4 linked regions of the Tamandua tetradactyla genome follow. The protein of the gene in region 4 purifies or fractionates together with the protein of the main gene of each other region. This does not show direct contact. Links are inferred from orthologs where the notes say so. Each region holds a gene or a part of one and is shown on either strand. Other genes may lie near its edges.

Region 1 (7,535 bases), on a different chromosome or scaffold from region 4:
GAGATATATGCCAATCGTATACAAGTAAAATGTAGAACATCAATATCATCCTTCATTTTCTCAAACTATATTGACTTACAAAGCATCATCTCCTAAATTACATATTTTCTTCCCATATTCACCCCCCCCCCCACTTTCCATGTACCTAGTTTGACACTTTAATCACATTTTCATAAGGTAGAAACACAGCCTTTATCATCCACATGGCTCAACCTAGTGTTGATGGAAGCGACATTAGCGATCCAGGTGTCAGAGAGTGGTGCACAAGGCTGAACCTAGCATTCAGATGTGTTTTGTTTGGCCAGTAGAGCATAGAAGGGAGAGGAGAAGAGAAAAAAGGCAAGGATGGAAGAAGGAAGGAAAAAGAAAGAAACTGGAATATTTTTGGGAAAAGCATACACTCCCAGTTTAGACAGAAGCCTCACCATTTCCCACTGTCTTCCACTGATTCCAACATACACTTTATCTTCTGCTTGGCTCCTAAAGCATTAATTCCCACATTTAGTCCAAATTTGAACTAGCAAGTTCTCTCCTTCTATCTAATATCATATCTCCACATTTAAGGAAATACAAATCCAAGACCTTGCCTATGAACACACAGATGGTTATCAGCAAAGCAACAGAAAGGCTTATGTGGCTTAGTTCCACATTCTCTCCCACACCCCCTCCCCCATCCTAACTCTAAACATGCTCTTCCCACAAAGTCAATCTAGTCACCAAAATGTTGAAAGAAAAGAGAGTCTCAACTTAAAAAATGTATATATAAAAAAAGTATGTGGTCCTTTCATATTGCAAGTAGTTTCATTTTTCTTTATGTCTACCAAACCAAAGGTGACTAGAAACTAGGTGAAGAGGTGAGTCATGTTTATGGGGTTTTTTTTGTATGCTCCCATTATTGCAGCACCATATACTGATTTTTTATATTGAATTTTTGTTTGTTTGTTTGTTTTGCTTGTTTGTTTCCTGGGAAGTGCATGAACTGGGAATGGAACCATGGTCTCGCAGTTGGCAGGCGAGAATTCTACCACTGAACTATCCTTGTACCCCGATATGCCCACTTTTGACCACACTGGAAACTTTCAGATTACCTACTATGTAGGAATAATATTGCAGATCTGTGGGGCAATCACGTCTTCCAGTGTTTCTGCCATAATTCTTATTTTAAAGAAGCATCATTATGCCTCTCCAATTTCTTGCAGATGGTGCATAGGCAACCCAAAGCAGGAGATATCTTTTGAGAGCACAAAATACAATGAATATATCTGAAAAGTGAAGTGTAGAGAAAGGATGAGAGGTGACTGTAGGGTCTAGAGCTGAGCATACTATTTTTGTGGCTGCTCCAAGATCATCAGAGTGGAAGAGAGGCAAAAATTCCACTCCAAGTTTTAAAGCAAGAAAGTGAACTTTGTTTTTCACATCAGAGCTTTAAATTCTTAATTTACTATAGCAGAATCAAAATTTTTTAAAGTAAAGAAATGAGGAAATTAGAAAATGGAGGGACAATCACTTAAAACTGTGAAAGTATTTTGAATTTTTATATGGCAACTTCCTGGGTGAATATAAATAAATAGGTATTAGTAATGCTTACATGTTACAGTTCTTTGTAACCAGAGGAATAATTTGTGACGAAAGACCAAGAATGTTTATTACTCTTCCTTTAAGCATGAACTAGGCAAAGTATCTTCAGGGAGTAATGGTGGATATACAAAATCCAAATGAATCAACAAAAAGGAAAATAAAAATCAAGACCAAATAACTTTAAATTGCATTTAATCTGATCTAGATGGATACAGTTCTCAAATTATTAGGCATAAGCACTAAAATAATTCATATACAATAACTCTACCACACTTTGTTAATTCAGGGATACAAATTTCTACTTTAAAGGGAATTAATCTATTCTAAAGTATTGATTCATATTTGTGAAGTGAAGAACTTCTGATTGTGCTTAAGTTCAGTATTAGTTCTATTTTGTCACTCTCTCAAAGTTTTTATATAAGCTAACATACATTAAAAAGCAACGAAATAATAAAATAAGACCGGAAAACCCACAAAAAGTATCAGGTTCCACTTTTGACTCGTTGTTGAAACTATGCTCAAAACATTTCAAAAATGCTTTAACTTTACTCTCTTTTTTATGTTTGACCTTAATTAAAATTTTTCAATACCTTATCATAGTTATCACACTAAATTAAATGACTTTAAATTTTTTTTTTTTTTTAACATGGACAGGCACCGGGAATCGAACCCGGGTCCTCTGGCATCACAGGCAAGCATTCCTGCCTGCTGAGCCACCGTGGCCCGCCCAATGACTTTAAAATTTATTCTCTGTGAATGAAAACTATTCTGTAAGCAGTATCACTGGTATTAAACACATTAATACAACATTAGCTTATAATTAACCCCTTTACCATATCAAAATGCCTAATATTAAATTGTTTCCAAAGCTGACATTAAGGTTCAAAGGGAGAAACTTATAATGGAGAACAAAAATTTTCAGCAGCCTCAAAAATTAAACAAAAACCACACATATTATCATTACAAACAGTATTTTTCCTGCTTTCAAATGAAAAGTTTTAAGTGGTTTATTTCTGTATCTAATACCTCTTGAAATATCAGTAGTGAAGGTATTCATTAAGATGAATTCTTTTACTTCCGTAGTTTGAATATTAAGAAAGTTGACAGTTGTAAAACTGTTGACAGATATAAAGAGCAAATAACCCTTAAAAAGTCTAGAGTCAGTAGAAGATAATCATTCCAATCTCCTAAAAAAATCTTTACTTTGTTGCCAATACAAAGTATAAACAGCAGCTGACATTTAATGAATGCTTCTTATGTACCACGTTGATCCCATCATAGTAATGTGTAAGTATTTTACTTATTGCCTTTCTCTTTCACTGATCTAGAAACTACATAGGAACATTGTCCTTGCTTGTGTTGTTCCTTATTAAATCTCCAGCACCTAGCACACCTAACACATAGTAGGCACTGAATTAGTATTTGCTGCATAATTGAGTTAATGTTCTTAATGCTTTCAATTAGCTTTCAGCAAACTGTGGTTCACGACATAGAGAACTACAAAAATGAACAACAGAAAATAGGGTGATTATATGTAGTAGAATAATTTTTCTTCAGTGAGCTATTGTTCTAGTTATTTATGCATATATTCCATATGAAATATATTTCTTACTATGGGTTATGATAAAAAGAAAAATGTTAAAAAGGACTTTTTGACGTGGGTTTCATTTGCTCCTTACAATGACCCTGTATACAGTACTCTAACTTCTATGTCAAAATTACACAACTGAGTTTTCTAGAGTTTATGTAAGTTGTACAAGATGACAGAACCATCTGACACAAATACAACCATCACTTCCATAGATACTCACTAACAAGATATTGACCTAACAAGTGAATAAAGTTTCAGTTATAGTAACTGTGATAGGATTAATACACTTATTAATGTAGGTTTTGAAAGCAGATTCACACGTATTCAATATCTGGTTCTGCTACTAATCACCCGTGTGGCCTTTTGCATATAAAACCTGAATCTCGATTTCCCAAGTGTAAAATAGGGGTAATCAGTAGGTTGTTGCAAGTTTTAAATGCACTCGTGTTCTTCAAAAACCTAGACAACTAAATAGAAGGTTCTGTGATTAAAACAATTATGTGTTTCCCCACTCCATCCCGGCAAATAAATCACTTTCAGTCCACTATATCGGAATTTGAATGTGTAAAAAATGTGAATCAGGAAAGCACAGGATTAAAAAGCAAAGTATGAGAATTGGGCAAGAGTGGCATAAAACTTTCCAACAGTTTCTGTGGGCATTGGTTAAGAAAAATGGTCAACTCAAGATCAGGCAGTTTGTTGAGGTTACTAACGGGAATCAAGGAAACAACGCTGCTTAAATGTAAAAACAAAACAAAACTCTTTCATCCTTCCTCAAGGATCACGGCAACATCCATCTTCTTCTTCTGCAGCCTGGCTGGGGCCGAACAGAGGTGTTAGGAAAAACGCACCTGGTCATCCACGAGGCCCTGGGTACCAAGGGGCTAGGAGCAGAGATTCGGAGCAACTCACCCCGGAGACTCCGTTGATAGTGCCCCAAAATCTCCTCCAGGGCAGAGTTCCCCGGGGACACGGCCATGCACGGACCGAAGGCCCAGAGATGGGAACTACGTGGGGAAGTGTCCAGAGAACAACAGGCCTAGCGCCTAGAGAGCACCCGCCCTCTTCCTGCCGCGGCTGTCACTGTGGAGCGTGGAACCCAGTATGGAGCTCCTGGAGGCTCTTCCCACCCAATGGCCCTTACGGTGGACTTCGGGAGTTGCAGTCCCCAGGCTCTCGACCTGAAACTTCGAGGCACCTGAGAGCTCCTCCACAGACACTACAATTCCCAGAGGGCACCGCGCTCGGAGCTCAAACTTCGGCAGTTTGGCTGCAATAGTCCGTTGCCAAGAGACACCTCAGAGGCTCCGCCCGTTTCCTCCTGCCCAGCCTGGTTTAGTCCCGCTTTCATCTCATCCTTCCGCTGCTTGGACCACTTAACTGACGGAAAGAGCCCCCTGAAGGCCTCGACTGTTCGAAATGTTATACTATGCAGTTGACCCCTGAGGCTTCTCAGTACGCAAGTGAAAAGCTCGGGATTCTGTTTTGACCGCAACGTTGTAATAACGACCACATAAATTCTTAAGGAAAAGAAACTCTAGACCTACCGACCAGCCTATGTTGTGAAGGCGGCCGATACTACAAATCCTAGCATGCCCAGCGACCCGGCCTCCTCTTGGAGTTGGCGCACTGCCCGCAGGGAGCTGTAGTCCTTGTTGGTTGCGGTCCAAGCTACTGATAGGGTCCTCTTTATTGTTCAAGCCGCTCTTTATACCACGCCTGCGCAGTGGGCAGCAGCAAAAGCGTGTGGGTGAGACCCTCAGTTCAACGCCTTTTCATTGTCTCATTTTCGCGCTTGCGCAGAACTAAACTGTTGGGCCAGAGCAGGCGGAGGGAACAGGGCCCGGCCCTGCGCCCTTTCCCGTGGCGCCTGCGCACTAGGCTGCCGCTCTTTGCCGTTACCGCTATGTGTGAGGCGTGTGTAGAATAACGTTATTGCCCAGAGGAGCTGAGGGGCCCGGAGTTAAACTGCAGCGGCAGCATCGACGACGACAGCGACGACGACGACGACGACGACGAGGGGGTGGGGGGAGGACGGCGTGCTTAGAGACTCACGGGACGCGACGCGCCCCGCCTCCCCCGTCCGGTCCCTCTCCCAGCGGTGAGGGGTAAGTGATGCTGTCGGCTGCTTGGGTTAGGCGTTGCTGGTACAGCTACTGCCGCTGCTTTTACACATCCTTTTCCTGGAGAGCCTTGGGTTTGCGGCGGGGACTCGGGTTGCGAGGCCGGGAAGCGAGGGGGTCGCTTCCCGGAATCTCCGCGCGGCGCCGCGGCCGCCGCCGCCGCCACCCCCACCCTGGGGCTCGGCGGGGCCGCCCGTCCCATCCCCCACCCGAGCTCGCGTGGTTCCCCATCTCCTGTCCCTCCAGTCCAGTAGCCAACCTGGCCTTGCCCAGCCTCTTTTCCTCTGACTCTTTCCCTAGATGTATAGAATCGTTTTCAGCTCCCTCTCGGGCTTTGTGCAACCTTCCCCCCACACACCCCCCCGCCGCCTTAGCAGTGTGCGAGGGGCGCGAGCGGAGGAGGATCGGAGGGAATGGCCACGCTGCCTCCGGAGAAGGGGTTTTTCCCAGCCCGCGCCCCTCATCTGAGCGGCTAACAGTGCCGATCCTTTTTATTGGTTTTGGGGAGTGAGGCGACTGGGGGAGGTGGTGCGAGGTTGGACGCGGTTGACGGGCATGGAAGACGTGGTGTCACGCACCCTGGCAGGCGACTGCACTCCGCGTAGGTTCTGGCCCCGTGGTAAACCCTGGGGCGGAGAGAGGGGCTTCCTGTCGCCTTCATTGTCCTAACATTCGAATGTAGGCCTCTGGTATGGTTTTCTTCATTTTATGCAAAGGAAAAAAAAAAGATTACCAGTTGCCTAAAACAGGGCGGGAAGATTTGGGATTTGTATTCTCAGTCACGTAATCTGTTTCTGGTGTACAGTAGAGTGTTATTTATTTATTTGAAGACTGTAAGCTTCTGGAAGACAGGGTCTGTGCTTAGTGGAACCAAGCCCTGTAAAGGTGGTCAGTGTGTAAGATTGCTAGACAACGATGAAGACTGGGCTAGGAAGGCCCTGACAATGAAGCTTTTGTGTGGCAGGGAAATGAACCAGCAGAATTGTTTTTTCATTGGGTGGGTAATGCGTTCGTATTCTTAAGGGAAGGCATTAGAATAGATCTTTACGTCGTTTTGTTTTCTAAAAGCAATCAAATCAAAACAAAAAATAACCCTTGTATATTTTAATTTCTGAAGTGGTTACTCATAGTTTAATTCTTGTAATGAAAACTCAACTAAATTGGGAGGAATTTGATAAAGCAGATGATTGAAAATTTTTAAATGATCTGATTCTTACACTTACAGTGTTTACTGTAAGCACTCGCTGGCATTTGTAGTTACAGCAAGCAGAAGAGAGAATGAAGTAGGATGAGGAAAGAAGCAAGTGGAAGAAAAATGACATTGTAGGAGTTATATTCTGAATACAATTTCTAGATCTCTCCACTGATATAATCCAAGCTGGGTCTGCTTCAAAGATTTAGGAATACACCTCTGGAAATATTACACAATGAATAGCAAATTATACAACCATTTTGTAATTTTCTGCCATCATATTAAAAAAAAATGAAACCATGCTTTTGGTTCTTTCTAACTTCATAGATATTGTAGAAATTTTTGTGTTTTAAAACTGGAGAGTCTAAGTACTTTTGTCAGAGGAAGAAACTGAAACTTGAAAATTTACCTGACTTTTCCAACCAAGCCAAACTGCTAAATGAAGGCAGAGCCAAATATTACAAGGCTCTGATTTGCCTCCTCCTGAGGTCTGTACCCCTAGTCCTCCTACCCTGTGAAAAAGTATGGAAAGCTTTTCTCTGTGTGCTGTTTGAGTTGTGAGGATAAAGTTCATTAATAGTTCAGTTGTATTAATCTTGTCCTTTTCCTCGTGATGTTAAGGTGGTAATCCTACTAAAATAGAAATTTTATAAAGTAAATTACTGGTATAGGGAAAACTGCCCTAATGTGGGCTTTTCATAAAGATAGGAATCGTTGGAATTCTTTTCTCTCCTACTTAATAGTGACCATATTTTAAATTATTTCTTGGTATTCAGTAATGTTTTGTAGTATGACCAACTCTGTAATTTGTTAAAAATAAAATTGCCACATAATAGAAGCTTATCAAGTTCATTTTTCTTCAGTTAATGAATTCTATTTTCGATTTAGACTACAGTTCACCTTTTGAGAAAAATTCATGTTACACTACCTTTCAAAATTAGCGTTTTTTATTGGATTTGGTTTGCTGTAAAAGCTGTTATGTTGTCTTATGATTTTTACCCTTCAACTTTGTACTGCATTTTAATATTTTATTACTATTTTAAAATTTCAA
Region 2 (7,401 bases), on a different chromosome or scaffold from region 4:
AGGAAGTTTAAAACAAGGAATTGGTTACCTGGGTGATGGAAAAGCTGAGAAGTCAAAGAGGAAATGGTGAGACAGACAACCCAGAGATTAGCAATAGCAAGACGCTGCTACCACCTGTAAAGGGGAGGAGATTTCCAAGGTTGGGGGTTAGGGTCGCTGGGCAGAAATGGAAACACAGAGGACCTGGTAGTGGGAGCTGGAGCCAGGAAAGAAGCAAGGCACCTGCCAGAGCCGCTGTCTGAGGCTGAAGGAGGGGACACGAAAAATAACCCAGCCTCTCCCTTCCTCCTGCCACCCAACCTCTCAGGGGGCTCCCTCCGGCCAGACTCGGCCGAAGCCAGCTACCCCAGGTCCGGGAAATGCAGCCTACCCTCCTCCTGGGAGAAGGGCAAGGCACGACCTGAAGGCCAAAAGGATAGAGGCCAAAGCTGCTTCCACAAAAAGCTGAAACAAACTTACACCTCCACCAGCAACGAGACTGCCTCGCAAGCGGGCAGTTTGCAGACCAGGGGGAAGGGGGGCACTGCCTGATAGGTGAAAGGCGGGACTCAATACAGCTTTAATTTATATTTATCTCATAATGAGGGAAGCTGAACATCTTTTCAAGTGAGGCACAAACTTGACTCTTATCTACATTAATGAGGTGGGAGGCAGCAAGGTCATTTAACAGCACCTGCCCTGGATGGTCCATTAGGAACTTCAAGCATATTCCAAAACTGGTCATTAAGATGGTGGCTCCTTGCCAAACCAGCCAGTCACCTTCCTAGTAGAGACATATCTCAAGAATTGTTCTGTTAAAACTGAAAGGCGAGTCCCAAAGGAACTAAAAATGCCTTAACTATGCTCTGCACACGTTATACTTAACAATGCGTTCCTGTAATCTCGCAGCCCCCACTTGTTCCTCCTTATAACTGCACTCCAACCATTCATATCACCATCCTCTCTCCTTATCTTGCATTGAAAGAACATATAATAAATACATCCTGGGCAAAAATTAAATTATAAAAGCAGTAAGCAGGAATCAAATTTTGGAGTCTTTTAAATCTGACCAACACGTTCACAAAGACCTTTTAAATTGTCTTTGGCCTCTGCAATAACAGCTATTTGACTAGATTATTTTTTTAAACAAAGCTGAAACTGACACCCCCAATACTGTTCTAGGTTGTGTATCGTACTCTAAAAATATGCAAAAAATGTTGTCTTTTACAATCACAATTGTCTGACAGTTGACTGATAACTGAAATTATCTTTCAAAGGGCTGAACTTTATTTTAAAAACACAAATTTTAAAGCTAAGTATTTCAAAAAATGCTAAATTAATTCTTCAACATTTCTTTACTCAGAGTCCAAAGCAAATTGCAAACAAAATCGCCAAGCCAGCTTCCCGGACTCGAAAATGTCAAAGGTTTAAACATCACGGTCGTTCTGTCTACTTTCTGAGAAGGAAAACCTGCTCTGCCTGCGGGGTTATTCACATTGTGACAGGCAGACTGCACCCACAGGGAATCCTTCGCTCCGGATCCTGTCTTCAGGCAGCCAGCCTGGCTGGAGGAGGCTTTGCAACGGGGCTCCTTCTTTCCACAACACTTTCTTTCATAAACAACACACCCACTTGGTGTCACAGAGCCGGCCCTCGCTTTCACGCGGAGAACCCAACTCTCCAAATGCCACCACTCGTGCCAACTTCCCACCACCGCCGCCGCACTGCTTCTTTCTGCAAAAAAAAAAAAAAACCAATTCCCTCCCGGGAGCACTCAAGTTCTAGAAGGCACCTTGATTAAACCACTTCATCCCGAAGCATCCGATGCAGCTGATTCTTACAGGCAACCGCTGAGCAGCCTGTAATTAGGATTTTTCAAAACGCCTCCTTATTACAAGGAGTTCGGATAACTTCGGTCAGCCAGTTAAATTAAAAAAAAAAAAAAAAAGGTACTCTTTAGCAAAAGTATAGAGGATCGCAACTCCGGGTGTTCCGGAAAAAAATAAAAATAAAATAAAAGGAACATTAACCCTTTGCCTGCCAAAACAAGAACCCACCCCCTGCGCAGACTCGCAATTCGCAGCAGCCCGTGCCCCGACACGACTGAGCGTTGCATTCCACCGAGATAATCTCAAACACATGAGAGCCTTCCAGCACCAGGCCCGTGAGCCTCGGACGCAGACCCCATGGCCGTGCCCACCCCAACCCGACCCGCTTCGGGGACGCTCTCCTCCCCGCCCGAGGCGCCCGAAAAGGCTTCCCGGGTCCCGCCCTCGGCTGCCCGCCGCGGCTCGTCACTCCGACCCCCAGCCCAGGCGACTCCTTCTATTGCCGACTCGGTACCGGTCACGGTTTCACAAAACGCCTGTCCAGACCTGTCCCCTCGCTGCCCCCTCCTCAAGCAATTCCAGCGGCCGCGTCTGACCCCAAAGCCAAGAAAACTGTCATTCCTTGTAGTCCTCTAGCCCCCTCCCCTCTTTTCCCAGGGAGGGTCCCCAACTGGAAACTTTCCTCCTGCCCGTTCCCCGTGGACTCGGTCCCCCTCCGGCCTCCCCGAGAAATGAGGCAGAAAGGGGGGTGCTCCGGAGGGCGTGGACGCCCTTGGCGAGGGGATGCGGGGAAGGTCGCGCGCCGGGGGCCCCGCGCCCCAAAACAGCCACCCGGCAGCCCCGGCCCGAGCCTCCCCGGCGGCCCCGCACCGGGACCCCCGCTCGGGTTCGGCGGCGACACCAGCCGGCTCCTCCCCGGCGCCCCCCACCCCCCGGCTCGGGCTCCGGGCCCGGCGCGTCGCGGGCCTCGGGCGGTCTCCAGCCGGCCCCGCGCTGCCCCCGGCCCTGTTTCCTCAGGCCGACCCCGGACCCCAGCCGCCGCCGCCGCCGCCGGGCCCGTCCCAGACCCTCAGCCCCAGGCCGCCGGCCGGGCGGGCCACACCTCCGGCACTCACCGCCGCCGCCCTCGCCGCCGCCGTCTTCATCCATCCTGACGTGACTCCCGCAGCCGGCGAGCCCCGGGCCGGCGGGGCGCGCGGTGCAGATGGCGGAGGGGGGGAACCGCCGGTCCGGAGCGCGCGTAGAAGGCTGCGGGGTCGCGGCCCGGAGCCTCCTCGGGCCGGGCTGGGCGCTCGCGCTCGGCGCCGCCCGCCGCCGCCGCCACCGCCGTCACGTGACGCCGAGGGGCCCGCCCCCGGGTGCGGTGGGCGGGGCTGCAGACGGCGCGGCCCCGCCCCCGGGAACCCGCCCGAGCCCGCAGCCCAGTCCGCGTGGGCCCGCCGCCCGGGCGCCTTCGCCTCCGCTCTGGCTTGTGGGGGTCCTCCAGGGCGAACCAGGCATCGAGACGCGCCTCCCCGCCTTAGGCGACCTACGCACAGATGTGGGGTCCGAGACGCAGCAATGCCCCATTCTGCAAATCCCCGTGGCCGGGGGGGGGGGGGGGGCGTCCTCTTTGCACGTGCAGGCGGGGAAAAAGACCAGGTGAGGCAAGTGCTCGCAAGTCAGACCCTCGACCTGCGGCCCAGGAGAGTTTAGGTCTCCCCGGCCTTCAGGATCATCGCAGCCTTTTCGGCTCTCTGATGCGTAATGGAGCCTCTTCTCCCTTCCTGGGGATCAGCGTACACTTTCACATGAACAGCGTGTAAGGCTTGTGAATGAACGCTGTCGCTAGGTGGGAACCCGAGCGGGCACACCTGTGCCCAGCCCTGCGCGGGCACTGTACGAGGTTGGCCAGTTCAGCCTCAGATGCCCTTGGAGTTTAGCTCTAGTCTGCCTTGAAAAGCTGCCAGCTGCCCTGGATTTATGATGCAGACGCACAGAGATGAGAGAGAGAGCTCTCAATTCACTTTCCCCCCGGGGGCACAGCCAGGGTCCTAAGCACTGGTCTCCTAGGAAGAAGACCGCAGCTTGTCTCTGCTCCACATCTTTCACGTTCCTAATTACTGCCCCTGCTCCCCCGCAGCATTGGGTGTGGGCCCCACCCAGGCCTTTCTGTTCATTTTGCATGAGCTTAATTGCATTAAAGAAAAGCAAACACTGTAATGGAGGAGATGGAGTCTACCTAATAAAATTTTCCTGTAACTGTTTATCCTCACAAATGACTCATTGAATCCAAGGATCCCTTTTCCACTGTCGTCTATTAAAATGGACCGTTTGCTGGAGATCCTGGGATGATTCCAGAAGTTAGAGTTGAATTTCCCGAAAATTTCAAGAATTAAGCACGTGCATTCCATTTCTAAAGCCCTCGGGGACACTTCTGGGTGCAGATAAGATATTTGGCAGTTTATGTGACAAATGTGTAACAGAAAAGGGAGTCAAAAGACTTAGGTTCAAGACTCAGCCCACAAACTTGGCTTCCTGATCTTGTTCCTGTCAGCTTTATCTTAGAGATAACTACACAGTGACCGGGGGGAAATGACAGCATATTTTGAACTGGATAATATGATAGGGTGATATGTGGAGTTTTGAACTCAAAAGTACTGTCAATTATAAATGCTTGTCAATGTCAGTCCCTAATTCCTTAGGTCCCTTGGCGTGTGATCCATAGATGCTTCTCACAGAGTTTGAATTATTCCATTCCAATTGTGGAATTCTTGACAGTTATGCCAAACACTTCCAAGCAAACAAACGTTTCTTGACCTCCAGAACACAGCATCAATGAAGATACCTAAAGATTCCCTTTTTGGTCTTGTCTCCTTTCTGGAAAGAATTCATCCAACCATGACCACTGTAAAAAGTTAATAATTGGCTCAAGAAACAGGCACAATCGTCCATAAAAGGAATGAAGTTCTGATACTGCTATACAAGGGGTGAACCTTGAAGACATTGTTTTGAGTGAAATGAGCCAGACACAGAAGGACAAATATTGTATGACTTCACTTGTATGAAATATCCAGAAAGCGCAAATTCATAGCAATGGAAATATAAATAATTGACCTGGGCCAGGGAGATGGAGGGCAGCAGAGAGTCATTCCTTAATAGGTGCGGAGTTTCTCTTTGGGGTGATGAAAATGTTTTGGTAATGGATGATGGCAATGGTTGCATAACATTGTAAATATATTGCCATTGGAGTATACAACTTAAAAATGGCTAAAATAGTAATCCATGTCAAAGTCTGAAATATGTTCTACAACTAATTGTGGTGCTGTGCTTTGAAATTTATACCTTTTTCATATACATGTTATTTTTCACAAAAAAAAAAGGAAAAAAAGTCGACTGTGATGATAAAAAAATATTTAAGCCCTCTAGCCTCCTATATTCTGGAGCAGCTAGAAGGAAAAATATGAGAGGACCATATGGTAGCCCGTGATGAACTGTGGCTCTTAACCACTCTTAACCACTTGTTGAAGAGTGCTTTGAAAACTTACTTTTTTATTTCTTTGCTTTGTATATATGTTATACCATACAATAAAAAAGTTTAAAAATAGTAATTGCAAAAAACTGTGACCATCGATTGTAACAAATTTTCGAAAAAATGCAAATGTTGGTAAAAAAAAAGGTTAAAATGGCAAATTTTATGTTACATATATATATATGTTCATTCCCTCAATACAGTAAATTTAAAGGAAAAGAAACAGATGCAGAAAATTCTGATTTAAATTAAAGTTCAAGATTTAAGAACACAGGATTTAGCTCACTCCTCCCTAAGCTACAAGCAGCTGCCCTTTTCTGCCAAAAGTGCCTCTCAGCTACCATGTCCTTGGACCCAGAGAAGCCCAGGCCTTTGCCTTGATCTTACTAAGTCCCTGTAAATAATGTCGCCCTCTCCATCTAATCTAATTGGTATCAAAATAAGGCATAGCCCATTTATTTGTAAGTAGAATATTATATTATCCCTTTAGTTAAATCTGGGCCCCATTTCAATAAAGCCTGTAAAAATGTAGGGGGAATAAAGTCTTAGGGTGTCATTTATACATCTAACTACAGGGAGGGGCACTTAGAAGACTTTAGACCCTGCACAACCAAAGAAAATAATATCTAATGGGAAAATGAGATTTTTTTTTTTAAGGAAAGGTGCTTCCTGGTCTCTCTCAAATCCCAGCACAAATCCAATCTGCTTACATGCACGCTGCCCCACACATAGGAACACTAAGAATCCTGATTTGTCCGCTAAGATTAGGCCATCACTTTATGTCTGGCTTATGAGTGGTTTACTCGGAGGTTGAACTCTTTATAAGTGAATCTTTAAGGGAAACAATTTATGCAACAGACATCTCTCCAAGATAACAAGTATTGAACCTCAAACCTCATTGGGACCCTTCAATCAGACAATAAATATTTAGGTCATTTCTATATCCCAGGCACTGTCCTAGGTGCTGGGAATATGACAATAAAAAGACAGATCATTCCATACCCTCATGAGACTTATGGCCAGGCCCAGAAGCACCAGTCATTAAGCAAATAATTCACAAATAATTGTTTCATTGTAATTTTTGATACCCTACCCTACCTTACCCACAAGACTTTCTCACAGTATTGCCTGTTCCGAGTATTGCCTGTTCCGTGTGTTTCAGCTTTGCACTTTTGCAGCTCCTTGGGGAAGACAGAGACTGTGGCCTGTGTTTAATTTGTCTCTGCCACCCACTGCAGGGACTACCCAGGTCAGAAAAGGGAGAAACAACAGTGTTAGTGGCAGCTGCTGGACTAACAAGGCAATCAAAAGTGAGAGACCTTTTGAAAGCATGTTGAAACCCATTTATCAGCCCTCTGACTGTTGCAGAAATAGTTTAAGAAACCTTCAATGTGCACATTCTGAGAAAGGTGAAAAAGACTTCTCGTTTGCACGTTCATCTCCCTCATTCAAGCGGACGTCCGTGAAATCGTACAGAAGTCTCCTCTCCCAGGACTAAGGGCCACCATAGGCAAAACCCTGCCAAGGCCAGTTTCCTTGTGCTTGGCCAGAAAGAGGCCGTCCGGGCTGCATGAGCTACGGCTGCTCCCAGACCGTGCACAGAGCAGTTCCTGTCTCCTTCGATAACGGTCAAGCAATGCAGACACGGCAGTGACCTTCAGCAGATGGGAACCTCAGCTAATCTGTCACATCTGCTCAGAGGTCTGGTCCACTCGGGGGAAGGCACACAGAGCCGCCTGCTTGCTCTCAGCTCACGGTCACGAAAGGAACGTCATATTTTCCGAAATCTAATTTCATCTAGGAAAGAAAGCATCTCATCAGAGTGGAGATGAGCTTGTGCAGATTGGCAGTCTCCACTCCACCCAGACAAATAGCAGAGGTCCAAGCCTCGGGTCAGAGCTCATTCGATTTTCAAACGCCCAGATCTTCTGATCCCCAATGTGTGCGGAGGCTCCCCTTCCATTCGTTCCATGTGGCTTGCCTTGCACTCGGTTTCCCTGGAATCCGCCCTCTTGACACCGGCTCCCTGGCCTCCCCTTACCAAGGGCAGGTTCATTCCTTTTAGATTGATTAGCAACTTGC
Region 3 (8,290 bases), on a different chromosome or scaffold from region 4:
AATAGATCCAGTCCCTTCTCAGCACGGAACATGAGGACTTGTAGGAAGGAAAGTATGTGAACACGCATTTGCAGGAAGGACAGTGGTGCCGACCAGGAAGGATGAATGGAGCCCCAAACAGATTCCAAGCAGAGAGGATGGCAAACACCAAACAAGGGTTGGGGGCCAGTAAGTAATCAGGTGACGAGGGCCCAGGTGCACCCAGAACTGGGTGGGCACCAGAAACAGAGCTTGGCAGCTGCTTGCGAAGGGCCTCTTGTCCCACATCACAGAGCCTAAATCCCTCTTCCCAAGAGAGGGCTCAAAGGCAAATTAAGGGGGACTAAACATTAAAAAGATGAAACAAAATCGTAAACAAACCACTTAACGTCAGTTATAGAAACAGTGCCAAATTACTCACACTGGTTAACTCCCACTTATACATACATGATACTGGAATATAAGGTGACCGCCATAGGTGCCAGGAAAGGGGGATGGGGGCAAAAGCAACACTTTTATTGTATAGGCTGTGGATCTGAGATTAGTACAGCAGGAAAGGATCTGACCACAGTCAAGAAGATTTTCACGTCCCCAGTGATCCTTAATGAGGCATGTTCTTCAGGTACTAAAACTAGTAAAAGCAGCTTTGTTGGAAGCATAATGCTGACGCTTAACTTCCCTCCTCCCCTGGGATCTTGGGGAACTGCCAGTGCAAACTCCAACTGTTCCTCTGACTTTAACAGCTACCCAACTACCGTTTCTACATCTCATCACACCTGAGGTACCTATGTGGGCAGTGGTTAACAAGGCAGTTCTGCCCTCTGCACTGTTCCAAACAGCCAACATGGAGGGATAATTCCTGGATGAGGAACAGAAAGAGAGAACCACCAACTCTTTAAGGTGACTTATTCAGAGCAAAATTGCTTGTTACTCCTATTTCCGATCTCTAAAATTCCTGGCCCAAAAATCAGCACTGCCACCATTTAACCCAGCACGCACATGAGGGCAGATCATCTTGGATTTTACAGCCTCTGGGATAACTGGGGCCAAACCCCTCTGGCTTAGACCCCGCAGTGGCTCTCAGCCTGGACTCGGTGGGTCTGCGTAAGAAAGAGTCGCAGTACAGTGGCCAGAGGCTCTGTCCTAGTACACACTGTGTCCCCTTCCACTCCCAAATCCCCCTGAGCTGCAGACAGCAAGTGTGGTCCCACCTTTCAGACCCAAAAACTCCCAAGTGGGCAGTTCAACTCTTACCCAGAATTGTCTCTCGTTACTGCCCCCTCTTCAAGTGCAAAAGCATGACAGGCACCTATATGTCCCTCTCTCCCAAAGTCTTTCATAGATGATACAGTTTCCAAGCTGCCCCATGGATATTCTCCAAGACAATCTGCACAGAGTTCATGAAACTCCAAAATACATGACTTACAGTGAATTAGATAAGGAAAAGCATAAAGAGAACCACCAAAATTTATTATAATTTTAATAAAACCCACTTCAAAATGCAGCCTAATATTTACTAAGATTTATTTCAAATGTGATTCACATTATTCTTTACTAGCTAAGATCATCTTGCTGTTTTGACTTACAGCCTTGAAATACCACCACGTGATGAAAGCATCACAAGAGAATGCACACAAATCCACACACAAAACTCCTATGGCTTCAGAAAGTTTGAAAGCCCTAACCTAGGATGCTGTCAGACACAGTTCTTCTTAAGAGTTTTTTGGGACTTAGAATCCCATAAATGGGGCAGGCCACGGTAGCTCATCAGGCAGACTTCTCACCTGCCATGCCGGAGACCTGGGTTCACTTCCCAGCGCCTGCCTGTGCAAAAAAAAAAATCCCATAAATGGGATTTACGGTCCCATTGTTCAGAGCCTCACTTTTTATGGAGTGCGTGTGAAGAATGTGGGGGAAGTCCATCAACTCCATAAGGCTTCAAACAGTCTTAACCAAAGAGGAAAATCAAACTATGCATTTTCCCTTCATCACACTTTATTTAATAAAAAAATTAAAAATGAGTATGATTGATCCTGAACCTCACTGGTGCCGGTCTATCACATCTACCTTTGAGCACTGACTCACCCCTGGGTGTTCTTGGAGCTCTCAGGGGTTCTGACTGTCACTCAGATTCAGCCCAGGCCTGCCCAGGACAGGCACAGTCACCAAGAAGGAAGTCACCAGGAAGTCACCAGACCCCAACAACGACAAAGACTGGGGGGTGGAGCGGAACAAAAAGCTTCCTTTGGTTTAAAAACACAGTTACTTTACCCACTCCCCACCACCAGCACTAGGACCAACACACACTAACTCACTAACCACTAACTCATTATCCAGTCTTTCTCCTGAAAACAGCACGATAAAAACCAGAGTGTGGATCAGTCTTTAGCTCCTCCCCTAAAAGGCCCCGTAAAACTGTCGGTCTAGTTCCACGCACGAGTCAGAGAGAAAGCACACTGCCTACACCCGAGGCCGCCTCCATCCCAGCCCGCTGCGACCTGGCCTTACCCTCCTCCTCTTGGGTTTTAAGAACCATCTTGCTCTGTCACAGCAGCACCCTACAGGCCCACGAGGCTTGTCCTTCAGAGGAGAACTGCAAGTCAGAGCAAAGTTTCCCGTGAGGGTTGGTCAAGGGGTTCCAGAGGCGCCCGTGGGGCTATCTGGCCACCAGACACCTCGGTGCTGCTTCCTGAACTGAAGGGGAATCGCTGGCTGCTCTCCTGGACCAATCGGCCTCCAGCTCACAGGGAGCGTCCCGCCCAGTCCCTGGTCACCACCCAGTTCCTGAAGACAGGCTGAGCACCTTCCCGCCCAGGGGCCACCTCCCTCCCAAGGCGGTCTTAGCGGGAGGCAGGCTGCCCTTCCCCGCCTTCCTCAGATTCGGCTCGTCTACAGTGGTGGCACCGGCAGCACCGACTGCAGCTTTCCTCTCCCCTTTCCAGTACTTTCTCAGAACGGACTTTGAAATCCCTGATTGTCTCATGGGATGATAGCTCATTTCCTAAGAGAATGACTAAGAAATCTTAATCATTACAGCACGTTATGAGGTCACAGGCTAAAAGCAGAAGGCAGGGCGGGCCACGGTGGCTCAGTGGTAGAGTTCTCTCCTCCGTGCTGGAGACCTGGATTCGTTTCCCAGTGCCTGCCCATGTAAAATAGATAAATAAATAAATAAATAAATAAAAGCAGAAGGCAGGTTTTAGAGAGAAAAAAAATATTCAAGGGCAAAATTCTCAATATAAACTCGGTTTTAACACCATTCTGTTTTCTAATGTGCTACCCCAAAATCTTTTCAGCACACCCTTATTATATGATACATGTTCACTATTGAAAATTGAGAAAGCATTATAATAAGAAAACACAATCCCACCATCCAGAGATAACTGATGATGACATATGGGGAGTCAGCCTCCCAGACTTGTTCACTTTCATTTGTGTGTGTTCTCACTCTGTATATATATTGTTTGCAACAAAAATGAGATACTCTACATGCTGTTTATAACACCATTTTTACTAACATTTTCCACAACTAACTGAACATCAACCATGCTTTTAGTATTTTACCATATAAACATAATAGGCAATCCCTTAATTTAAGACTTTTAAGTAGTTTCCAATTTTACTGCCACTCTCAGCACTGCAATAAACACCCATGTGCACAAAAAATCTCTTTATTTTCTTAACAAAAATTCTTAGGAGTAGAGTTGCTGGATACAGATATAGTTTCCATGATATTCTGGTTCTTCACTTAGATATTCATACTCGCAAGTGGCAAATAAAAGGAGAACAAGTGTGCCTAATGCCTCTGCATTAGAGGTCCTGTTTACGAGGGGTTCCTTTGAACCCAGTCTGACATGGCCTAACCCACCTACTCCTGAATGCACCTCTGCGAGGCAAGTGTTGTCTTCATGTCCATTCACGGACAAGGACACTGAAATCCCAAAAGTTATATGGCTCAGCCAAAGTCCAAAGAAGGCTGCTGGCTGTAGAACTGACCAGCTGCATGATGCTCACTTCTGGTCCGCCAACACCCCCCTCCACTAGGCCTTGGTTGGCATCGCAGGTGCCTGTACTCTTTGGTGGGGAGCCTGAACCTGCTGTCCTTTGCCCTGGTACTTGTTAAAGAGCTGGAAACACACAGGCTAACAGCAAGATGGAGAGTCACCAATCATAATTTGAAGGCGACCACAGGTGCTGATGCATCACGGGGCAGAGACTCATCCCACCCTTTTCTGTCTTGCCTAATAATAGTTAAATAAATATAAACATATATATATTTTTAAATACTTTTTCTGTAGAGTCAACTAACAAATTCAGCCTTTTACCCTTTGACTTAGAACGTCAAAAAAACAGTTAAATCTTCTCCTTTCTGACCTCCATCCACAAGGAATCCCAGTATCAGTCCATTTCAAAACCTAAGAGTTTAATGATTCCCAAATCAGCACTTCCCATCTTCTGGTGCCAGGTCTGATTCTCTGAGGATGATCCTAACTTTCAAGAAGACAGGTCATTTCTACACTCTACCTGCTGTCAAATGGGAGAGTATTTCTCTGGAGCTGACACCCAAAGGCAAAATGGCTAGGTCATCACATCTAGACAAGTCCAGCTTTAGTGGACACTGCCAAAGCACCTGCCATTTTCCTACAGCTTCCCAAGCTCAGGCAGCATCAAACTTAATTCCTGCCAGTCTGATATGTGGAAAATGATGTCTTCTTATTGTTTCCAGTTTGCATTTACCATCTGATTAGCAGTGATGCAGGTGATCTTGCCGTAAATTTGTGTATTCCCTCTCCTGTGAACTGCCTGTCCACATCCTTTGCTCATTCTTCTATCAACTGTCTTTTTTTCTTATCAACTTGTAGATTACTAATCCTCTGTATTAGATGTTGCAATTATTTTATCACAATCTGTTACTTAATATTAACTTTAGTTGTGGTATCTTTTGTTATACAGAAGTTTCTATCTTGTTATAATCAAATCTAGAATCTTAAACTTCAATTCTTTTCACTCAAACACATTTTTTTTAACTTTTTTTATTAATTAAAAAAATTAACAAACAAAACATTTAGGTATCATTCCATTCTACATATACAATCAGTAATTCTTAGTATCATCACATAGTTGCATATTCATCATTTCTTAGTACATTTGCATCGATTTAGAAAAAGAAATAAAAAGACAACAGAAAAAGAAATAAAATGATAATAGAGGAAAAAAGACTATACATACCATACCCCTTACCCCTTGCTTTCATTTACCACTATTTCAAACTGAATTTATTTTAACATTTGTTCCCCCTATTATTTATTTTTATTCCATATGTTCTACTCTTCTGTTGATATAGTAGCTAGAGGGAGCATCAGACATAAGGTTTTCACATTCACAGAGTCTCATTGTGAAAGCTATATCATTGTTCGATCATCATCAAGAAACATGGCTACTGGAATTCAGCACTACATTTTCAGGCAATTCCCTCCAGCCTCTCCACTACATCTTGAACAACAAGGTGATATCTACTTAATGCGTAAGAATAACCTCCAGGATAACCTCTCGACTCTGGAATCTCTCAGCCATTGACACTGTCTCATTTTACTCTTCCCCCTTTTGGTCGAGAAGTTTATCTCAATCCCTTGATGTTAATTCTTAGCTCATTCTAGGGTTTTTCTCAGTCCCTTGATGCTGAGTCTCAACTCATTCCAGGATCTCTGTCCCATGTTGCCAGGAAGGTCCACACCCCTGGGAGTCATGTCCCACGCAGAGAGTCCCCCCTCAGTTGTTTTTTTTTAAAGGGGAATTTATTTATTTTATTATTATTATTATTTTTTTACATGGGCAAGCACTGGGAATCGAACCTGGGTCCCCAGCATGGCAGGCCAGAACTCTACCTGCTGAGCCACCATGGCCCTCAAACACATTTTTATTCAGCAGTAACTACCAGGCATGGGTGCTGCACCAGAGAAGTAAACATAAAAATACCTACCCTCGTGGCATTTATACTCTATAGGGAGACGGGTGAAGCAGGCAAGCAAATTAGTCAATGTGCAGTATGTCAGGTGGTAAACACCGCAGCACTAGGGCCAGGGGCACTGTCAGGACAGACCTCTCTGGGAACAGCAAGGAGGCCAGGAGCTGGAGCAGGGGTAAGGCCAGAGTGGGGAGGCCTGAACAAGGCCTGAGAGGCCATTTCCAGGAATCAAATGCCTACCCCAGGTGAGATGAGGAGCCAGTGCCAGGCTTCCAAGGAAAGTGCAGTGCCTTGCCCTCCTCTGTAACAACACTGTGCTCACTGGTGGATAAGAGCAAATGGTGGGGGAGTAAGGGCTAGAGCCAGGAGCCCAGCTGGGAGGCCCTGACAGCTGTGCCAAGGGAGCTTCGACAATGACTGCCTAGGCTCTGGCTGTATTTATGCTTGTGGAAGAGCCAAAGACTTGCTGGTAGATTTCCATGAAGAGTGCGAAAGAAAGAAATCCAGGATGACTCCAAGCCCTCTGGCCTGGGCAAGAAGAATGGAGCTGCCATGCTCTTAGCTTCCCATGCCTTCAGAACAGGTTTGTGCCGCTTCTGGGTGTGGGGGTCAGGCAGCCGCCCCGAAGCTGACAGCATGGTAGGGCATACCTGGCCCGATATCACATGGCATTTGCTAAATCTAGCGCAACAAATAACATTGTTAAAAAATGAAGCAATGAATGAAAATACATGTTTCAAATTCCTTAATGAAGAAATTTAACTACTGACATGCCCAATTATATAATCAACTCACTCATAAAGAGAATGGCTACATACTTTACTATCCACACAGGGACATTTTCATGTCTGCAGCTGGTGCTGGTAGTAACTCCTCAGACAGTGGGTAGGACCCGGGGCCATCCTGGGCCAACTGAGGCATTCCGCTGCCCTGCCCTGCCCCTAAAATGCAACAAACTATCATACCAAGACTGTGAGAGGAAGGTCAGTGTACTTATTCAAATGTAAAGTACAGAAAATTCAACAACCATTTGGAAGAACAATGGAGCATTACAGAAGAGAATGATGATACAGATGCAGGCCTGAGAAAGAATGGGGTTTGGCTAAATGAGACAGTAGAGTGAGGGCTGGCTGGACCCCATAATCATCACTAAAACAACAAAGTAGAAGAAAACACTATATCTGTTCAGGCTAAAAATCATGAATCAGGGAATTCTGATGCAGGTGTTTGGACTCAAGACATAAAATATCATTTTACATTTTCAATTAATGCCTCAAATTGCCTTAATCCTTTACTGAGCTTCACCCCATCTGGTGATGGTAAGGTAAGAATATTCAAATATTTAATGGCTTGATCTTACTTTAGAAGAAAATTTACATAAATATTTATGTAATGTTTCAGGGAAAGATTCTCTTTAGTGGGATACCTGCTGTTATTCATAATCTCAAGGGACAAAGGTACACTCAGCATGGGAACTGGACAGGCTGTAAGAAAGGACTGTCAACAAGAGGGACGGAAACCAGTGAGCAGCGAGGAGGCTTCCCAGGCTGGCACAGGCCAAGGTCTCCAAGGTCTCCGGCTCCTTGGCAGAGGGCAGCTGAATGCAGGTCGCCTGGCTGGAGCTTTGGGTTCTACGGACCCTCAGCGACCTGGTAGGGAGGAGCTAGAGAGAAGACACCTTGCCCTCTCTCTCCTTCCACCCTCTCTCTACTCCTGCTCAATCCAACGGGCAAAGGAGGCTGCAGGTGGAATCCACAGGGAAGGAAGTGTAACTAGAGGGCACCAAGCCTGAAAAAAATGGGAACCAAGTTTATTCCTGTCAGAAAAGGGAAATATGGACAGGGGGAAGCTACAAAGAAACCAAACATGTTGGATCAGAATTGGACAGATCAGTATTTTAATGGCTGTGGACATTTATCTGTCGCCATATCATCTCTGATGCTGCAGCATCCATGGGCCTTGGCCTCTGTGCCCGTCTCTGATGACTTCCTGATTAACTCCCAGAAGGGTATTTATGAGTCAAAATAAGTAAACTCTTTTAAGGCTCATTATACATGCTATGAAATAGATTTCTAAAGTGATAATTTGTTTCACCAGCTGTGTTTCAAAATGGTGGCCTCACCACGGTTTCATCCAGCAAGTATTACCATTTAAAATATTTGCCAACTAAAAGAGGTAAAAAATAGTATTTTAATATCTATACTTCTGATTACCAGTAATGTCTGGTAACTTTTGGTATGTTTATTTGGTGTGGACATCTGTCTTTCTGTGAATGACTTATTGTTTGCCACTTATCAAAAGTAATTGGGAAATGCTGTAGATTAATTTTTGTAGAAAAGGAAAGAC
Region 4 (7,412 bases):
CAGGGGAACCAGGTTACTTGTTGTGACTTGAGTCAGAGGGGAGGAGCAGGTGAGCAACTACTTCCCTGAACTAATCCCGTGGTGGCAACAGCCGGCACCCAGCTCCTGGGCCTCTGCACTTCCGGGGGCAGAGCAGAGAGCAAGGAGCAAGGGGTTCCTGATGGAGGCACCTAGGAGACAGAGGGGTCATGTCTACACCGACGCTGAGCTGTGAGGTGCCCAGGTGCCCTCTCGCCTGCCCCTGGCTCTCCCTGCCTCGGATGTTCACCGCCCTCCTTGGACCTCAGTTTCTCTTTCCAGAAATTGAGGCATGTACCTCCCCCCAGAAGCAGCGTGAAGGTTCACTTATCCATGGGAATGCCAGCAAGGAATTTCCAAACTAACAGGGTCAAATCATCACTCTTCCCCATACCCTGAAATGGGGAACAAGGCTTGAAATGGGAATACAGAAACCTCAGGCAAGGAGCAAACCCGCGAGGAGGCCCTAGGGGCCTAGAGAGAGCCAGCTTGTTCTCGATTTTCATTCCGGATAACAAGACCATCATTTCCCCGTTGATTGGGTACATCCACTCCCCGGCACAGTTTATGGGGCGCTAATCCGAACCTCAGTCTTGACCCTTATGCAACAGTAGGCTCTGAACAGCAATCCCAGGCTCTGAACCACCTCCCCCCCCACACATATGGGGCCACAGGCAGAAATGGAACTTGTTCCCTATAAAAACATAAGCCCCCAGACTCCCCCTTCCCTCGACCCTTGAGCAAACCCAAAATTGGAATCCAGCCTACTTCACAGAAGGAAGCGGGGCGAGGTGGCCAGTTGCCTGACCCCAGGAGGCTGAAAACACAAAGATGCTTGGGACTAAGGACTGTGCCCCACCCCCCAGGACTTCATCTCACCATCTCCCTTCCCCCAACCCCCCAATCCTCCCACCCCCCACTACAACAAATCCTGGATGGCTTCCCCTCCCCCAGCCCCTAAAGATCCCCACCCCCATTCCCCAACCCCCAGTGGGGGATGATGACGTCTGCTCCCACAGAGCATCTCCGTCGGTGCAGAATTCGGTGTCACAGACACAGCTCTGACCTGCCCCTCCCCTCGGCCAGCACCTCCCACTCCCCACTCCACCCCTGCCCCCTGAACACCTCCGCATTCCTGCACACACCCTCTTTTCAAACAGTGTTAGTCCCAGGGTTCTCGACATTGACCACCTCCTCCCTCAGCCCCAGGCTGAGGCCAAAGGGCCCTAATGGACGAGAGGCCCTTCCTGGCGGCAGGGAACAGGTCCAGGGTGTCCCCAAAAGCCAGCAGCCCTTCCCTTCCCCCTGCGCTCCACAGCACAACAGTCCCCCCCTCCCTTCATAGGCTTCCAAGGTCAGACAGAGAAGGGTAGACTTCTTTTCCACACCTTGCCCATCCCCCAGCTACAGGTGGGGAGGGGGACGGATGATGGAAGTTTCTAGAGTCAGTGCATAGCATATTTTTCAAAGCATAAAATGAAAGTTATAGAGAATCACTAAGAGAACCAATTACTTTGAAATACAGTTCTAGAAATAGAACATAGTAACATATGCTTCTTTATTAACATTAAAAAGGGTCTAGCAGCGGCTCTACTAATAACAATTTCATAGACACGATCACTGTAAACAATATTTCGAGATAATCTGCGGCAAGTGTGATGTCATATGAAAAATACCTGCGATTTCTATCAGTGGCAAAGTCACAGGTACTGCTAATGCTACTGCAGTTTGGTGCCTTTATGACGGGAGGCAATACTAAATTTCTAGTTACAGGTGAGAAACAAAAGACATTTTCCTCCTAACTCTGAATCCTAGCCATAGATATCTTTGGTGCTATCAACCCATTTCAGGACCAAGAACCAGTCTTAAGTGATCCCCTATCTCTGAGCTCAGGGGAGAGAAGTACAGATGTTCAATCTGTTTGCACTGATCTTCTGGAATTTTGAATGACACCCTCATTCCTCCAAATTCACACCCAGTATTTCCCAATCCAGCAAAATAAGATGTTTGGAATGGGCCAGGGACCTCAACCCTCTCACCAAGGACCCCGGGATCTAGCGGACGACCCTAGTCATCCAACCCCAAATACCATGAGCGGGGCACGTGGCTGAGGGGTCCAGCTGGGGGGTTGCGGCTTAGAGCCCCACTGCCACCCAGTCTAAGGATAAGAGGAGGAACCCTCCAGCCCCAAGCCCCAGACCATCAGCACCAGGACCAGCCGATGAGGAAGTGGGGTTTCCTTGTACAACATTATATTCTTGGACTCTGAACTTTGGAGATTAGAGTCCTCCCCCAGAAAGAGGAAAAACTACTTCTCTTTAGGGTTTTCATTTCCCAAGGAAAAGTTCTGAATCAGAAAACTCTCCCACAGCCCTGTAGCCATCCTCTCTCTCTCCTTCCTTCTCTAAGCTTCTTCTGATACACTAGATTGGAAGTTCTTCAAAGCAAGTGCCCTTCCTACCATTACCACATTCCCGATAGCATCTCTGATACTCTTAAAATTTTACTTAATGAATTAATGAATCAATGGTTACACTTCCAGAGTTATGAGTAGAAAAAGAAAGTAGGGAAATGGCCCAGGATCTCCAGGCAATGGGATCAGGGAGCGGAACGGTTCTTTAACTTGCTCGCTTTCTCCACTCTTTGCCCACGGGGAAAGGTGCTTGCCTCCACCAAGCGATGGTGGAGTGGGCTGGGACAGGGGAATTCCATGCTAGTCTGGAATGCATCCTGAAATCAGACCTCTAAGGCTTTCTTTAAAAAGCCCCTTTGTCCTGTCCACCCTCCTCCCCTCCCCCATCGCGCCCTCCACATCCAGGCCGGCCCCAGACTTCGCTCCTTTTGTTTGGCTGCTTTTTGGCTTCCCGGAACCTGGCCAGAGGATCCACAGGCACGGGGAAAGCTGAAGAAGGAAAGGTTGAGGGTTTGGAAATACGCATTTTCGAGAGGAACTCTGAATTCTCATTTCCTTGGGAAAATCACCCCATTCCCTGTCGGACCCCCTTCACTAAGACCGAAGATGGTGAGTTCAGGGGCTTGGGTCCTCCAATTCACCCCCTTTGGCCACCCCTAAGTTTTCCCCCTTACCTGTCCCATGGAGCTCTGGCGCCGCCCGCTTGCCCCCGCGCCCCCCGTTCCCGCCTCGCAGCTTCAAGACTTGTTTGTCCAGGCCATCGTCCCTCTCCCCGAGTTTCTCCCCGACCTTCCCTCCCCGGAGGTATTTCATTTAACTTCGGCATTTGCAGCATCCCAAATGTTAAAGATCCCAAGACATCTGTCCCCTGGGGCATACCAAGACCCGGAGGAAAGAGGGGAAAGATGGAAGAAAGGATTCGAAATTCCGATCCCAAAGCGGTCTGTGGCCGCATGTTGGGGTGGGAAGGCGCAGAAGGGGAGGCCACCCTGTGGCAGCACCAGCTCCAAGGGCAGGGCTGTCCCTCTGCTCTGGCTTTTGGACGCCCGCGTGGCGGGACACCCCCCGCGCTGCCAGTTTCCGCAGCCCAGGTCGGGGGGAGGCTCCTTTCTCCGTCCCGGTGCCTCCGTTCACGCGCGCTCTGGGCTGCTGGAGACTGCTTTCATTCCAGGAGACCCCAGGGTGAAAGAATGTAAGGAGCCGGGCAGGAGGGCGCCGCGTTCTCCCCCCACAGGCGCCTCTCCCCTTTTTTGCCAGCCCCTCTTCTCCCTTGCTGTGCACCACAGCTGGTCGCTGAGCCACAAGTGGGCTGCTCCAACCAGGAACTCTTCTCCCCTCCCTTTCTGCACCCCCCACACGCACACTTCAGACCCCCAGCCCCATTACTCCTGGCTGAACTAGGGCTGGTAAGAGGAAAGAAGGAGCCTATTCCAGGTGAGCACCTCCTACTCCTTATTGTGAGCCAAGATGTCCTTGTCAATCCATTCATTCACTTACTCGCACTTTATCGTGGGTTCTAGTAAGCACTTACTGAGCAGCTACTAGCGCCCAGCACTGTGGATGAAAGTTTAAGCCCCTTCTCTGGAAGATTCCCCATCTACATAAGTAATCAAGCCAGCAATGGCATCAGTGAACTGCTAGAAAGCAGGTCCTGGAGAGGGGCGCTGATGCAGATTTAAGATCTGTAAAGCCTGGCCCCAGTGGGCAGTACAAGGACGTACAAAATCATAATGACAAAGAGCACAGAGGAAACACAACATATCAAAACTCGTGGGATGTAGCAAAGATAGCATTGAGAGAGAAATTAATAAATCTAAATGCTTACATTAAAAAAGAAGAAAGATTTCAAATCACACACTTAACCTCACAACTGGAGGAACTAGAAAAAGAGCAAACTAAATCCAAAGCAAGAAGGACAGAAATAAAAAAGATTAGTGCAGAGATAAATGAGATGGGAAAAAAACAACGATAGAATCAACAAATTCAAAAGTTGGTTCTTTGAAAAGATCAATAAAATTGATGAACTTAGACTGACAAAGAAAAGAAGAGAAGGACACAAATAACTAAAATAAGAAAGGGGACATTACTACCTACCCCACAGAAATAAAAAGGATTATAAGAGGATACTATGAACAACTGCGTGCCAAATAATTAGATAACTTAGATAAAATGGACAAATCCCTAGAACACACAATAGAAAGGGGTGCATGGGTAGTTCAGTGGTAGAACTCTCACCTGCCATGCAGAAGATCCAGGTTCAGCTCCTGTCCCATGAACCACCCACCCAACCCCAAAAAAGAAGAAATAGATCTCATCAGGCCAATAACAAGTAAAAAAGATGAAACCAGTCATCAAAAACCTTCCCCAAAACACTGATTAACATTAGAAATATAAATTAGTTCTTGCAAGAATTACTTCAAAGGTATGATTCCTGTACAAAGAGTGCTTAAATCCAGGGTACAGGGGAAAACTGCTAGTGCATGCTATGGAGTGTGTTTAAAAGGAAACCATCAGCACTACCACAGCAACAGCAGAGGTAAATAATGGGGGGAGGAGCAAGAGTTAAAAGGAGGTTTAGATTTTCTATTTGGGGAGGATATGTTTATTGGTTTTCTTTCTCTTGGGAACAATGAAATTATCTAAAATGGAGAGCATTAATGAACTGTGGACTTTGGGCCCTATACCTGGTCCCTGATGAATGCAGGTTGCTGAAGGATGCACTTGCTGAGAAGTAGATTGGCAAATGATGGTGTATACTTATGAACGAATGTTGTGCTACTACAAAAAAGGAATGAAGTCATGAGGCAAGCAACAATGTGAATGAACGTGTGGGATATTTGGTGAGGCAAAAGAAACCAGAAACAAAAGAACAAGAATGGTATGGTCTATTTAGAGAATGCTTAAAAGAAAACAGAGGCCTAGATTGTAAGCTTTTATAGCAGACATATTTAGTTTGGAAGGGTAATTATTATTTCTGGATTTTGAGAGGCTGTTTTTATATGTACATACATATATATATATATATATATATATATATATACATCCTGATATTTAGAGATAAAATGAAGCCAATCAGGTTGGTGTTGAAGTAATTCAGAACACAGGGTAAGGAAGACAGTGTCTATGTTTTAGAACTACACATACTCTTTGAGACGAAAGCAAGAAAAGTTTATTGGGTCTGAAACCGAAATTTTCTGTAGCACATAATCTAACTCAACCTATCTGTATAGCTCATTTAAACAGCTGAAACACAGGAAGCCCAGAATAAGAAAGAGGTCCTTTAATCCTGTATAGCTTAATATAATATCTGGATACATCCTAGAGTATATTAAGCAGATAATCAAAAAGTATTGGCAAAGTCCCTTGAGGGATGGGAGAAAATATATAGAACTATTAAACTTTACCATCAGTATGTATGAGTTTTGTTTCTGTTTTCTTTTTATTTCTTTTTATGAATTGATGCAGATGTCCTAAGAAATGATCATGATGATGATTATACAACTATGTGATAATATTGTGAGTTATTGATTATATATCAAGAATGGAATGATCATGTGGAAAGAATGTTTGTGTTTGTATGTGGTTGTGTTTAATAAATAAATAAACTTTACCATCAGGAAATCCCATGATACTGTGTCAAACCATAGGGAAATCTAAATCAATAGTCCATGCCCTTGATCTTGAGTCTTACTGTTATGAAGCTTATGTAGGTAGCAGAGAAGCTTAGCCTACTTAAAGGTATGCTTAAGAGTTACTTCTGGAGGACCTCTGTTGTTACTCAGATGTGGCCTCAGTCTCTCTAAGCCCAACTCTGCAAGTGAAATCATTGCCCTCCCCCTTACGTGGGACATGACATCCAGGGCTGAAAGTCTCCTTGGCGACGTGGAAGATGACTCCCAGGGATGAATCCAGACCTGGCACCATGGGATCAACAATTCCATCCTGACCAAAAGGGGAGAAAGAAGTGCAATTAATACAGTATTAGTGACAGAGAGAGTTCAAATAGAGGCAAGAGCCTACTCTGGAGGTTGCTCTTATGCAAGCTTCAGTTAGACCTTGCTACCTATCATAACCTGCCAACCCCCAACCAGGACCATTCCAGCCAATCCTGAAGGCAATATATAAGATTCTACAAGAGTACCATGTACTAGAGTAACTTTCCAGAAACCTGTACCCTCCAGATGGGTCCCTGGTCCAGATAAGTCCTGAAACCTAGCCCAGCCTCTCCAGAACATCAGATAGTTCCATCTCCCTACCCCATATTAGTGACAGACCCTTCCAATATGAAAAATCTAGAATTGCCATAGCCCAAACACCCCTAAGGAGAGGGATGGAAAGATAAAAGGTGATGGTGGAGTTATGCAGAGAAGATGGGATTTAACGAATGAATATGAATGCTGAATTATTAAATTGATATCTCTTTTAGTCTCCACTATTTTAGAGCAGCTAGAAGTAAAAACCTAAAATTGTGAAATTGTAACCCATGTCAAAGTCTGAAATACGTTGTACAACTAATTGTGGTACTGTGCTTTGAAATTTGTAGCTTTTTTGTATGGATGTTATTGTTCACAAAAAAAGAAGGAAAAAAGTTGATTGTGATGATAAAAAAAGTATTTAAGCCCTGTAGCCTCCTATATTCTGGGGCAGCTAGAAGGAAAAATATGAGACGATCATATGGTAGCCCATGACAAACTCTGGGATCTGTCCTGTAACTACTTGTTAAAGAGTGCTTTGAAAACTATTCCTTTTTTCATTTCTTTGCCGTGTGTATATGTTATACTATACAGTAAAAAAAAAAATTAAAAAAAAACAGGAATGAGCAAAAATTGAAGACTTAACTGCTTACCTGGAGAAATTAGAGAAAGAACAGCAAACTAAGCCCAAAGCAAATAAAAGAAGAGAAATAACAAAGATTAAATCAGAAATAAACAAACAGGAGAACAATAAAACCATAGAAAGAATCAATAAAACCAAAAGTGGG

Evidence for each region.
Region 1: the proteins of INAVA (region 4) and CEP170 purify together in Homo sapiens (co-immunoprecipitation; 3 studies listed by BioGRID and IntAct, counting the BioPlex papers as one, with this or other methods). This does not show direct contact. The link is inferred for Tamandua tetradactyla from reciprocal best matches to the Homo sapiens genes INAVA and CEP170.
Region 2: the proteins of INAVA (region 4) and CYTH3 purify together in Homo sapiens (co-immunoprecipitation; 3 studies listed by BioGRID and IntAct, counting the BioPlex papers as one, with this or other methods). This does not show direct contact. The link is inferred for Tamandua tetradactyla from reciprocal best matches to the Homo sapiens genes INAVA and CYTH3.
Region 3: the proteins of INAVA (region 4) and CYTH1 purify together in Homo sapiens (co-immunoprecipitation; 3 studies listed by BioGRID and IntAct, counting the BioPlex papers as one, with this or other methods). This does not show direct contact. The link is inferred for Tamandua tetradactyla from reciprocal best matches to the Homo sapiens genes INAVA and CYTH1.

The regions. Positions count from the first base shown.
Region 1 is NC_135333.1:14,520,087-14,527,621, reverse strand, and holds the start of CEP170 (centrosomal protein of 170 kDa), read left to right. Parts: upstream 1-4,439; 5' UTR 4,440-5,277; exon of another isoform or gene 5,278-5,416; intron 5,417-7,535. Other genes in the region: SDCCAG8 (serologically defined colon cancer antigen 8), read right to left, coding at 4,082-4,148.
Region 2 is NC_135349.1:5,669,817-5,677,217, reverse strand, and holds the start of CYTH3 (cytohesin-3), read right to left. Parts: upstream 3,092-7,401; 5' UTR 2,958-3,091; coding exon of another isoform or gene 2,954-2,957; coding exon 2,911-2,953; intron 1,948-2,910; exon of another isoform or gene 1,343-1,947; intron 67-1,342; exon of another isoform or gene 1-66. UniProt on the Homo sapiens protein: Promotes guanine-nucleotide exchange on ARF1 and ARF6. Promotes the activation of ARF factors through replacement of GDP with GTP. Plays a role in the epithelial polarization.
Region 3 is NC_135332.1:71,097,785-71,106,074, forward strand, and holds the start of CYTH1 (cytohesin-1), read right to left. Parts: upstream 3,135-8,290; 5' UTR 2,516-3,134; coding exon 2,488-2,515; intron 1-2,487. UniProt on the Homo sapiens protein: Promotes guanine-nucleotide exchange on ARF1, ARF5 and ARF6. Promotes the activation of ARF factors through replacement of GDP with GTP.
Region 4 is NC_135330.1:57,986,064-57,993,475, reverse strand, and holds the start of INAVA (innate immunity activator protein), read right to left. Parts: upstream 3,282-7,412; 5' UTR 3,267-3,281; coding exon 3,106-3,266; intron 1-3,105. UniProt on the Homo sapiens protein: Expressed in peripheral macrophages and intestinal myeloid-derived cells, is required for optimal PRR (pattern recognition receptor)-induced signaling, cytokine secretion, and bacterial clearance.